2 linked regions of the Arabidopsis thaliana genome follow. The protein of the gene in region 1 interacts with the protein of each later gene in a biochemical or structural test. Each region holds a gene or a part of one and is shown on either strand. Other genes may lie near its edges.

Region 1 (6,381 bases):
ACAGTAGTATGAATAAAAACTATGTATTATATAACACAACTGAAAACTGTTCATGCACAGACTGCAATCCAAATATAATGATTTCAATTTGACCAATGCAAGAAGAAAAAAACCATCACATGTGATATTTTAAGAATTACTATTTTGGACTATGGTCTTTGTATATATTTCAAAAAAGAGTATCAATATCCAATATCTTTGCCTCGATAATTGTCACGAGAAAGTTAAACTTTGACCCTTGTTACAATACAACCTTGGACTTCAAATTGAAAGATCGAAATTTTTGTTAGTATTTGGTTTGTTTCAAAAGAAGATGATTAGAGTTTTGTTGTTGGAGTCACAAGAATTGATAGATTCGATTGATATTAACAAAGTAATAGACTTCTCTTTGGTAGGACCATCACCAACGGCCCAATGCCAGCATTTCAATAATCATAACAAGTTCATGCACGTATAATTGTTATTTATCTTTCCCTTGTTACTATATTGTCTAAAATTGCAAATTTTAATTTACATTACACGTGATCTATATAATCAAATTCCTAATGATTGCACTAATTGAAAGCACTATAAAAATATACAGTACAGTACAAATATTAGCGGGCTAGATCAAATCAAATTTGAATATTTCTTTGGACTCAGATTCTTTATTTCTAGCTGTCACTATAGTGTCAAGATTCTGTAATATTTGAGATGGTGAAAGGGTAATTCTTGAAAATCACTTATAGTCGGTGGGTGCTTGGGGAGAGAATCCAAAGAGATAATATGGGCGCAAATGGGAAATTATGTGTTTTGACGAAAATAACCCTGTACTATCAACAGACCATGCAAACTCATTTGGATTTTTTTGGTCGGATCTAATAATATTTAACTATTTATATGGTTTCAAACTTAGATGTCGACCATATATATGCTAAAACTTCATTATTCAGAATCTCAGATCGTTGTTTGTATATGGTGACTTATTATGATATGATTCTTTGTCTTCTTTTCTACGATAAATAATTGAATTTTTATAGTTACGGAAACACCATTTCACAAAAATTTGTAAACAATTGTCATTGGTAACTATTTACCCGACAAAAACTGTAAATTTGAGTGAACATATGCAGGTTTTGTTTTGGTCAGATTTTGCATTTTGAACACAATTCGAGTTATGTAGTCACTTGATTTGTTGACTAAATAAAAGAATTCTAGTGTTGACATATAATTTTTCAAATCAATGCAAAGTACGCAAAATGTTGTAGTTAACAAAAGTAACGGTTTACATAACCAAACAAGATTGGTTCAACCAGAACCGGTTTTCATGATAGAGAAACTTGGACCAGAGATGAGCTGATGTTATCATTTTTCTTCTAATCTTGATAGGTACTAGGATGTTGTTACCTTGAGTACAAAGTTGCCTTTAAAAACCATTTTATGAAGAAGAAGAAGAGCTCTGCATCCGTTGTTTTAACCATGACTCCAGATACTGCAGCTCCTCATTACTGATTGAGTGTCCAAGACCCGGATAAGCCTGCAGATAAACGAACTCTCTTTAGATATACATTTCCAAGAATCGGTTTCTAAGATCTTTCCATGTGATCAGTATTGACTGCTCTGTTATATGAGCAAATATATGAGTGTTTGATTTGAGTTCTTATTGTTATACCTTGAATTCACAAGTCACACCCGCTTGTTGAAGAAAAGGAAGAGCTGCTTGACCAGCTTCGAATAGTACAGTCTTGTCATCAATGCCATGAGACCACAAGATTGGTGTCTGCATATGCAAAATTTAGAGACTCAGATACCCAAAAAACAGTGACAGGAAAATCAACATTTACCCTTTACAAGAAACCGAAAAACGAATGAACAACCTTTTTAGCATCTTCGGTAAACTGATTGGTGATCGAAGAATTGAATGGAATCCATCCGCTAAAGACTGCACCTCCTCCAATAGTTTTAGGGTAAAGAAGAACACTCGCCAAGGTTAATGCACCTGCAGAAAATCTTATTCAGGAGTCGCAATACAAATAAATCAACACATTGTAGCTTTGCAGTTTAAAGAAAAATTGGAAGGTGTAAATCCATGAAAATGGGTAACTATGGAGGGTGCTAAGAGAAATCACCTCCTTGGCTAAATCCACAGATATACACATTTTCTGGATTGATTCCTCCTGCAATCTCCTTATCTATAATGGCATGAACGTTCTTAACTGCTTTAAGCAAACTGCTTTCATCTTTCGGAGATCCCTAACACATAAAAACTTACTTACTTGATGACTTAAAATATCTCTAGAACAGAACAAACTCCTTAATAAGCTAAAGCAGCCTGTTCTTTGTACATTATAAACCTTAAAATCTACTAAACAAGTACTGATGACCCCAAACTATATTAGAAAATCTGAAGCTACAAATTTAGAAAGTATTGAACAAGAAGTGTTACCGCAGTAAGAGGAAGCTCAGGGATGTCAAACCAAGAAGGCATCACTGCACCATCTGCACAAGACAAATTAAGAGGCAAAGGCACAATATTTAGCAAGTACATAAGATTTCTCATGAAAAAGTATGAATCTTTACTCAATTTTGTCCACTGCATTTACCAATGAGGGAGGATTTAGATGACTAAGCCATAATTTGATAAATGAATCACACATCAAAGCACTAAATCCAAAAGAAAGACACACTAGTATCATTCCTATAGTAAGGACTAGACCTAAAAGTTCGAATTATTTAGGAGAATGCAAATTTGTTCAGCTCAATCAATTCAAAAACGATGATCAAAGTCAACGCCTAGAGAAGAAAGAAACGAACAACACCAAAATCAGAAAGTAAAGGGCAATCATACAATTGCAAGAGACTGGATTTGGTGGAGCAGAAGGGAAGAGCCACTTAGTGTTTCTAAACTCCTGGGACCTGAAAAGTGTTTTGATGGGTTCGTTGGCAGGTCCGGAATCACCTAGCCCGTGAAGCCATAAGATGAAGGTTCGAGCCATGGAGTCTCGGTTCCGTAAAGCAGAGGTAGATGATACGTCAGATTTGTTTAGGAAGAAGAATGCGAAGAAGAAGACAGAGCTCAATAGTGCGATAGTGAGAAGAACAATCGGCTTCTTCAGTCTACTTGTTCGCATGCCTTCACCATTTTCTCTCGAGATCGATCTCTCAAAAAATGTTTTGTTTTGGAGAATGTCTAAATGACTAAAATGCCCTCAATGTTAAAAGATTATCAAATTTGTTGGCTATGTTTTATGTTCTCATGTTCACACTCAAGATTGCAAATGTATTCCAATGCTTGCATATACATAATTCAAATCGATACAATCATACTAGAAGGACACAGCAAACAAAACCATACGAGGAGCTTAGAATTGTCAATCTTCTTCTTCTTGTCTTCATAGACGACATGTAGGTATTATTATTACCTTCAGTGGAACATTTCTTTAAGACAATTAAGTTGGAGACAAGTAGACGACGAACCTTTCAACCGTCTCTTGATCCATGACTCTATATACTTCAGCTCCTTATTGCTGATCGAGTGCCCGAGACCAGGATATGCCTGCAGATAAACAAATCACCTTAGAAGTATAAATAATTGTACATTGGAGTTCTATCATGCATTTGTCTCGAAAAAGAGTTTTGATTTGAATATACCTTGAATTCACAGGTAACACCGGCTTCTTTGAGAAAAGGAAGAGCAGCTTGACCAGCTTCAAAGAGTACCATTCTGTCATCAGTGCCATGAGACCACAAGATTGGTGTCTGCATATTGCAAAGTCTGAAGACTCAGAAACACAAAAACATTGATCAACGTTTATAAGAAAACATAAGTGAGGAACCTTCTTAGCCTCTTCGGGAAACTGACTGATGATTGAAGAAGTGAATGGAACCCATCCACTTAGGACGGCACCTCCTCCAAGAGTTTTTGGGTAAAGCAGAACACTAGCCAAGGTTAATGCTCCTACAAGAAAATTCTTATTAGGCGCCACAATGCAAGGTTCTTAAGACATAAGTGGATTCAGACCGATATAAAAAGGTCTCTCTACAAAGAATATTGAAAAGACAAAGAATTCATGAAAAGAGAAACAACCTCCTTGGCTTAATCCACAGATAAACACGTTTTCTGGATTAGTTCCTTCTGCAATCTCCTGGTCTATAATGGCATGAACATTCTTAACTGCTTCAAGCACGCTGCTTTCATCAATTGGAGAGCCCTAACATACATAAAAGTTGCACACTTATTGTGATTTCATAAAATCTCTTGAAAATGCAAGAGTGCTCTGCTCTTTACACAATCTGCTGAACAAGTGTTGATTCTAGATAATGCGTCATAAGGTTTAACAAACCAAAAGGTGCTAACTTGGAGCTACCAGCCCATTAACTATTTGCCAATTCATACTATAAGAGGCGTTAGATAGATCAAGAGTGAAGTGAAGTAATACCACTTTAAAAGGAAGTTCAGGAACGTCAAACCAAGAACGCATCACCGCACCATCTGCACAAGAAAGTATAGAAAGACATAAGCTTTTTTCAGACACATATGGATTAAGAGACATGACACCAACAGATACCACAGAGAAATCAAAGATAATCAAATTGTGTACATTTGACTAAATGTCTTTCAAATTAACAGAATGTGACAAATCTCCTTCACATCACAGAGGCAAATAATAACGCTAAATCAAAATGGCATGAAGTGGAGACCGAACCCTGTAGCCCAAATCAAACCATAAACCATGAACAACGAAATCAATGAATGCAAATCGAAAATAGAAAAGGAAGAACGTACTGTTGCAGGTAACCGGATTGAATGGAGCAGAAGGGAAGAGCCAACTAGCGTTACTTAACTCCGAGGATTTGAATTGAGTTTGGATGGGTTCATTAGCAGGTCCAGAATCTCCCAACCCGTGAAGCCACAAGATGAAAGTTCGAGCCATCGTGCTTGAGTTCCGTGAAGAAGAAGAAAGAAAGATAAAGAAGATGAAAAGTGCTCACTATCGATAGGCTTCGTCTGTGTATTCCTTCGCATGTTAAAATCGCCTGAAACTTTGCCATTTCAATGGCGATTTTGTCTCTCAAAGTCTTCGCGACGACTTTCAAAGTAGAAACTACAAAGTCCACTAGGACAAGAGTGAAAAGTACCAAAATACCCTCGGTTGTCGTTTTATGTCCGAAACGACATCGTACATAGCTGCAGCCCTTTTTTGTTAGTGTTTTAAGCCAGACAGGGAGAGAGAAGGGAGAAGAATCTCGCGAGAGACAGAAAGGGACGATTATTGGTTGGTGAAATTTAGAGCATTTTTGGGAATTGGGTAAACTTTTCGATGGCGACTTCGAAGCTTCAAGCTATTTGGAATCACCCTGCCGGACCTAAAACCAGTGAGTCAATTCCACGATGATTAGCTTTCCTCATCGATTTCGATGATTCATTTTTTTTTTGTTGGTTCATGTAAAATTGACGATTCAATTATGGATAATTGAGCAATCTACATCTCCTTGGAATCTGTTGTTAGTTTTGTCTTTTATAAGTTCCACTTTCTCGTCTTTTCGATTTTTCTGGTGAATCCTGATTTGTTTCTACTAAAAAAAAAACAAACACTTTTTGATGAATTTTGACTTTCGATTAGTTCTCGAGGATGGATTGATTTGTTGCTTATGGTCCAGGAGAATCACTCTTTGCTTTATAATGGGTTTCATAAGTGATAGATTCCGTTACCAATTCACGTCACTCGTGTCTCAGAACATCAAACAATAAGACTCTCATTTTGTGTTTTCTCAGTTCATTTCTGGGCACCAACGTTCAAGTGGGGTATTAGCATTGCCAACATTGCAGACTTTGCCAAACCTCCAGAGAAACTTTCCTATCCTCAACAAATCGGTATGTATTATTCTATCATCTTCTTAATCTGCAGAAGGTTACTCCTCTGTTTTGAATTGTGGACTTTTATAGGCTTATCATATTCCCCATAGTTGTCATTGTTCCTTGATCAGTTTCATTGTGTTGCACTGCCTTCAATGTACTTTCAAATATTCTCTGATATTTCTTGCATCAGCGGTTACATGCACTGGTGTTATTTGGTCTCGTTACAGCATGGTAATCAATCCGGTAAGTTTCCTTACATTCCCTTTCAAAATTCAATCTATTTTTAGTATTGTAAGACTCTCTTATCATGATCTTCTCCCTTGCGTTTGCGATGAGATGTTAGTGATTGTATTCATGGTTGATCTGACTTCTTTGATTCCGACTCTTGTTTACAGAAAAACTGGAACCTCTTCAGTGTTAATGTTGCTATGGCAGGGACAGGCATATACCAGCTTGCTCGTAAAATAAAGTAAGATCGAGAGAACATCTGATTTTCTTCTTACTTTTACATGTTATGTACATCTTAAGACACGACTTAGTCA
Region 2 (5,931 bases), on another chromosome or scaffold:
AGATTTCCATAATTACGAGTTTCGACAATATTATGTACAGAGTTCTGTTGGTACAATACAACACCAAAGAATTTCCAGACAGCAATCTAGACTAGATCACTTCTTTCTCTGGCAATTATTTGTTTATGTCAAAACAGATCATCTTTTTGACATTAATAGAAAGTTTCGTTCATTTGGGTCATTCAAGTAATCAAGTGTACATTGATTCTTAGGAGTGGATTTTAATTTTCGGTAAAAAGGTTTATGTAGTAACTCAATGTATATGATAAATAGTTTAATGTCAACAGTCGAAATTCCAATCCTAGAAATACTCAACTTCGACAAAAAAAAAAATGGTAAGTGGCTAAGTGCACCAGTTCCCGGAAGTTAATCCAAAGAGTTAAATCATTATTTTTCGGCACCAAAAAATATGCGCAGTATAGTAGATCCATGATATAGAGTTGTTGACCAACATATAAAGGTTATTTTTAAACATAGTATTATATATTGGAAATATTCATCTGATCATCTCTATGATTAATTACCATCATCGTAATTAACGAAGAAACATAAACAAAGAAATGATATGTCTCATATGGACGAAGAAGAAAGATTGAAAGAATGGGAAGTATCTTTGCATTTTGGCAGTTACGCTAATCCAACTGACATCCCCAAAGATTCTGGCCCCTACGAAACCATTGTTGTCGCTGTATGTATATACATTTGATTCCTTACAATATTCTAAGTACATAAATGTTATGGTAATAAATTGATGGGTCCTTTTAGTCAAAAATAATAATATTGCTTGGGCAGACTCTTGTTTAATAGGGAGTGTATACATTTAAGGTTCGAATGATCGCAGAACAATGGGAAACGTTTTCAACTTTTTATTTCTGAAATTTTTTGCGTCATAAAGTACAAAGATTCCGTAATAATTACCATTAACTATAATATATTCGTAATAAAATTATCTGGCATGGACATTGGAGAGGGAGACATACATACGACATATCATTGATTTAATGGAAAATATGAGGTTTGATGAGAGACAGCAAATCATTTTTCATGAGACCATTAAATCCTAAGTAAGTGCTGATGCTGGCAATTAGGTATAAAGTCGATATCCTCTTCCTCAATCACGTTCATAATCATCACAATTAAGAGTTATATTATTAAGAGAATCAATAAAATTTTGTGCAAAATTTCTTAATAGAAAGTAAAGTTTAAACGGTGAAGCATGGAAGACGTATTCGATTGGTGGCAAACGCTTTCAACACACTATTCGATTTAAGTTTTGTTTCTTATTTGAACATTAAAAACTAACCATTTTGCGATCATTTAACTTACAAAAAATCTGGTTTAAGTTGTTAGATAAACACATCATCAGTTACACTTATTCCGTTGTAGATATTCAGAATGTTACATAATTTTAATATAATTTACTTAGAAAACAAGGACAAGTTGGGATCCATAAAAGAATAATTAAAGAAAAAGTATGGGCTCCAAATGATAATCTGGTGCACGCGATAACACAAACACCGGTTTAGTGGGTCCTTTGTGGCAGAGAAGCACACGTCGAGTAAGGAAGGATCACCCTCTTTCTATGTCTTTGATCGGCTCAATCCCCACCGTACATTCTAATCTCTACGATTTGGCTTTGCTTCGAACAAGTTTATTCCTTAAGGAAGTTAACGGACCTTAGCTCAGTTTGATCACAAATAAAAAAAATTCAGGTCGAGCTCAATCAACCAAACCGTATAATACTAACTCACACTTGAAATCTGTTTTTGATTATTAGACTACATACAAGACATTAGAGACTTGTAAAACAATATATTGGTTTTATGTCGATTAGTAGGTAATCTATCTTTCTAACCCTAGCTAATTAAAACAACAAAACCTTAGCTTGCCAAAGCTCATCCATTAATTGAAAAAAGATCTACTAAGTAAGTATAGTTTTGTATATACTAATTTGTGGGACAAACAAAATTTCAAAATGGCTAATGAGGACAAGATTTATACCCCACCATTAAAACAATGTGACTAGTTATACATCGAGTTGATATGATGGCTAGCTTAGAGGAATAATTTATAGTATACTACATTGAAATAAAAGTAAATTCCATTAAGAGAGAAAAGGAAAAAAAAAAAGTGAAGAAAAAAAAGAAATATTCTTGCTTCGAAGGCCCGTAGTTGAAGCCGTTGGCTGAGTGGGCTACTGCTCTTTACCTTCGTTTTTACGTTTCTCCTCTCTCTTTTTTCTATTGATAACTTTCTTTTATCGAAAGAGAATAACAAATTCATTAGCAAAACGCTTACTTGAGTACCTCTAAATTTACCAAAGTAAATTAAGTTTGACCACTTTTATCGGATACACGTCGAAAAACCTATAAGATTTACCTCTCTTATTATTATTTTTCTGTTGGATCACAATTAGTATAATACTTTAAAATTTATACTAGTAAAGAATATTGGGATATATATTCTCATAGTATATTTATTATTAGAAGATCATTTTATTATTCTCATTTTCTCAATTTTCTTCAATATAAGTTATATAACCGTGGACCATAGTTTCTTTCTTTGTCAACAATTATGTAATGTGGTTCTAATAAATGAAAAATAACTCAATAGTGTGTATGCTCAGCAATGGAATACCTAATTCAAGTCATTAAAGAGAGAGAAAAAAAAATCACGACGATTGGTAAATGTTAATGGACCAATGGAAAACCAGAATTAAATTACCGGTTAAGTTTGGTTCGGAATTGACGGTTTAGACGGGACAGCTGAGTTGTTAACGAGCTGTCACCGGATTCTACGGGTCACCCGTTTTGCTTCCTTCATCAGATAATAAAAAGATCCAACGGTTACAATAATCAGATTCTCTTCCCTTTATTCCTACTTTTTATTTTTGATTTTTTCTTTAAAACCCTCACTGTATCTTTTTATCGGTTGTTGGTGGCAGTTAGGTAATTTCACCTAATAACCTTTTTTTTTTTGCCTGTTATCTCTTTTTAATATACGTTTCAATATATTTTAATTATTATTAAAAAGTTCCCGTTATACGAATAAAATAGCATTTAATATATTTTTGTTTCTGGAAAATGTGTAATTATCTTTATATAAATGTTCATATCAGAGCACTATTTCTGGGTTTCAAAAAGAAAGCTCAGTTAGCTATTTTCTCTACCACAGAAGAATCTAGACCCAGAGAGAGAGAGAGAGAGAGAGAGAGAGATCAGTAACGAGAGAGTCAAAGAGAGGAGATTTCAGTGAAGATGAAGGAGATGCAGGCAATAGAGACGTCGCAGCCGACGACGGTGGCTCCGGCGGTGCATAGCCGACAATTGGGAGCTCAGTTGTCGGGAAGTATGAGTTTCAGCAGCCAAATGTCGAAGGAAGATGAGGAGATGTCTAGAACTGCGTTATCTGCGTTTAGAGCGAAAGAAGAAGAGATCGAGAAGAAGAAGATGGAGATTAGGGAAAGGGTTCAAGCTCAGCTTGGTCGTGTCGAAGAAGAGACTAAGCGTCTTGCTTTGATCCGTGAGGTATGTATCTATATTGGTTATTTCATATATAAAAAAAAGATTGTTTTTTTTTTGGAGAATTGTGCTTCAATTTTGGTTTTTGTTATGGAAATTTTTTGGATTGGGATGTGAAATTGAACATTTGGGGTTTTTATATTGTATAGAATGTGGATTTAATTCATGTTTAAGGGGAAATTGTAGGACCCAACTGTTGGAAATTTCAAGATCTGACAATTGCATTGAACAAATTCTTTTATAATTTTCCTTTGGTTTTTGTGTGGTTTATGCCATTTGGGGAGAAAATTTTGGGGCTTTTGTGTTTGTTTTAGGATTTTAAATGATCAATAGCAAGTAAACCTGGATTTGCTAAAAATAAGCTATTTGGATTAAGTTTTTTGTGAAAAGAACCATTTGCTTCTTCTGGGTGATGTTAAAGTTTATGAATCTGGTCTTAGTCTCTGGTTTTAGTACTTTTTCCCCTCAATTTATGGGCAGAACAGTGAAAGTTTCTACATTTATAGCACTACTTGATAGAGATTAGCTCTGTGGATCAAAGCTCTTTCCTTTCTATGAAAAGAACAATTTGCTTTTCCTGGGTGATGTTATGTTGATGACTAAGAAGCTCAGTGGTTAAACTGCATTTCAGGAACTTGAAGGATTAGCTGATCCCATGAGGAAAGAAGTTGCTATGGTTAGGAAGAAGATTGATTCTGTCAACAAAGAATTAAAGCCATTGGGCCATACAGTTCAGAAAAAGGTAAGGCTAAAACATAATCAAATCCATTGACCTGTGTTTAAAATATGTTTTGTTGAGGATTCAGATGCTAAGCTGGTTTATTTACGCAACTTGCAGGAACGAGAGTACAAAGAAGCTCTTGAAGCATTCAACGAAAAGAACAGGGAGAAGGTGCAGCTAATCACCAGGCTAATGGAGGTTAGTCAACAAATGCTCAAGTCTCTTTTCGTTGAGTTTGAATGATTGAGTTAACTGGTCTAGTTATTGTACTGCTTCTCTCTGATTTTTGGTTGTGTTGTCCTTTATTTTTTCACATTACCCTTGCTTGTGTGGATAAACACATTAAGCTAATTATTGTCTTGTAGCTCTGTTCTGAGAGACATGCATCAAACACCGATAGTTTTAGGCATATTTGTGATCTTGCGGATTCAGTGTTTAGTAGATTTTGATGTTGAGTTCTTGGACCGGTCTGTGTGTTTGCTTAAAGCTATGTGTGAGTCATCTCCATAGTTAGCGGAATCAGTTCCTTCAAACTCTATCTAAGTGTCTTCTTTTTGTATGAGTTACATCGATCGTTCTTGCCATTTTCTAACATAATTTGTCTGTAAACTGAACATATTCATCAAACCAGTCCACTCTGATCTGTGTCGAATATATTCATTTTGTTATGTGTTCTTAACTTGAATTGCGTTCTTGACTTAACGGTTTCCGATTCGAATGATTCGCAGTTGGTGGGAGAAAGCGAAAAGATGAGAATGAAGAAGCTGGAAGAGCTAAGCAAGAACATAGATTCTATACACTGACTTTGAATCCAAGACAGTACAAGAACTTCTTGGGCCAGAGATCATTCTCTGAGTGTTTTAACTCTACGTTTAGGTTTGGTGGTGGTGAATGTAATTTATATTTTATAATCGTCGTGTGTTATATTACTACTACAATTATTATCTTTGTTAGGGGTTCTTGGAGAATTTATAAGTGTAATGTGGTTTTTTTAGGAAGTAACTTCAAAAAATACTCATCAAGACAGGTTTGTAACTAAACGCTTCTTCTTCTTTTCTCTGAACTATCTTTCTCTCTTTATTGTCCTTTCAATTGATTTTTTACTTATCTCTCTTTAAAACTATTGTTCTGACATTTGTAGCATAATGTACAAAATGTTAGGTATTAAGAAAAGTGGAAATTTGTTTATATCATGTGCGCTGGGAAAGCTATAAAGATTAATAGAACATTGTGTAACTTGTGCGATCGATCGGTAGGTTAAGTTAAAAAAGATGGCATCACGAGATCAGATGTGATCTATATGTCGACCTTTTCCGAATTTGGTTTTATTCCAAAATGACCGTTAGAGAAAAATGATTGTTTCATGAGGAAGGAAATTCATAAAAATAATATCCAGAAGGCAAACCTTTATTTGTTTATCATTAAATATGTCCTCAACATTTTGACATGTAACCATTTATCTGATATTAATATCAAATATAAATCATATGATTAATGAGAAAATTATATAAACCATACTATAATTATAAACCAGACGTTTTGTTCATTATTTGATGGAGGGTGCAATAATAAGACATTAATGATCAAATAATCAATGATGATGTGGCTATTGCAATGGGAGACATAGATATCATCGTAAAAGAAACAAAAAAAATTCCTTTATTGTTTTGTGCAGCCTTTATTTTCATT

Evidence for each region. Proteins that work in one complex are often made in the same cells at the same time.
Region 2: the proteins of SOBER1 (region 1) and AT3G09980 form a complex in vitro, tested with the Arabidopsis thaliana proteins (one study listed by BioGRID).

What each region holds. Positions count from the first base shown.
Region 1 is NC_003075.7:11,786,143-11,792,523, forward strand, and holds SOBER1 (carboxylesterase), read right to left. Parts: upstream 3,171-6,381; 5' UTR 3,111-3,170; coding exon 2,828-3,110; intron 2,479-2,827; coding exon 2,426-2,478; intron 2,233-2,425; coding exon 2,109-2,232; intron 1,979-2,108; coding exon 1,857-1,978; intron 1,760-1,856; coding exon 1,652-1,759; intron 1,517-1,651; coding exon 1,418-1,516; 3' UTR 1,157-1,417; downstream 1-1,156. Other genes in the region: AT4G22305 (alpha/beta-Hydrolases superfamily protein), read right to left, coding at 3,404-3,535, 3,631-3,738, 3,816-3,937, 4,067-4,190, 4,419-4,471, 4,766-4,913; AT4G22310 (Uncharacterized protein family (UPF0041)), read left to right, coding at 5,301-5,355, 5,756-5,854, 6,030-6,082, 6,235-6,308. UniProt on the Arabidopsis thaliana protein: Carboxylesterase.
Region 2 is NC_003074.8:3,066,101-3,072,031, forward strand, and holds AT3G09980 (ankyrin repeat 30A-like protein (DUF662)), read left to right. Parts: upstream 1-2,989; 5' UTR 2,990-3,257; coding exon 3,258-3,527; intron 3,528-4,152; coding exon 4,153-4,263; intron 4,264-4,359; coding exon 4,360-4,440; intron 4,441-4,970; coding exon 4,971-5,045; 3' UTR 5,046-5,431; downstream 5,432-5,931.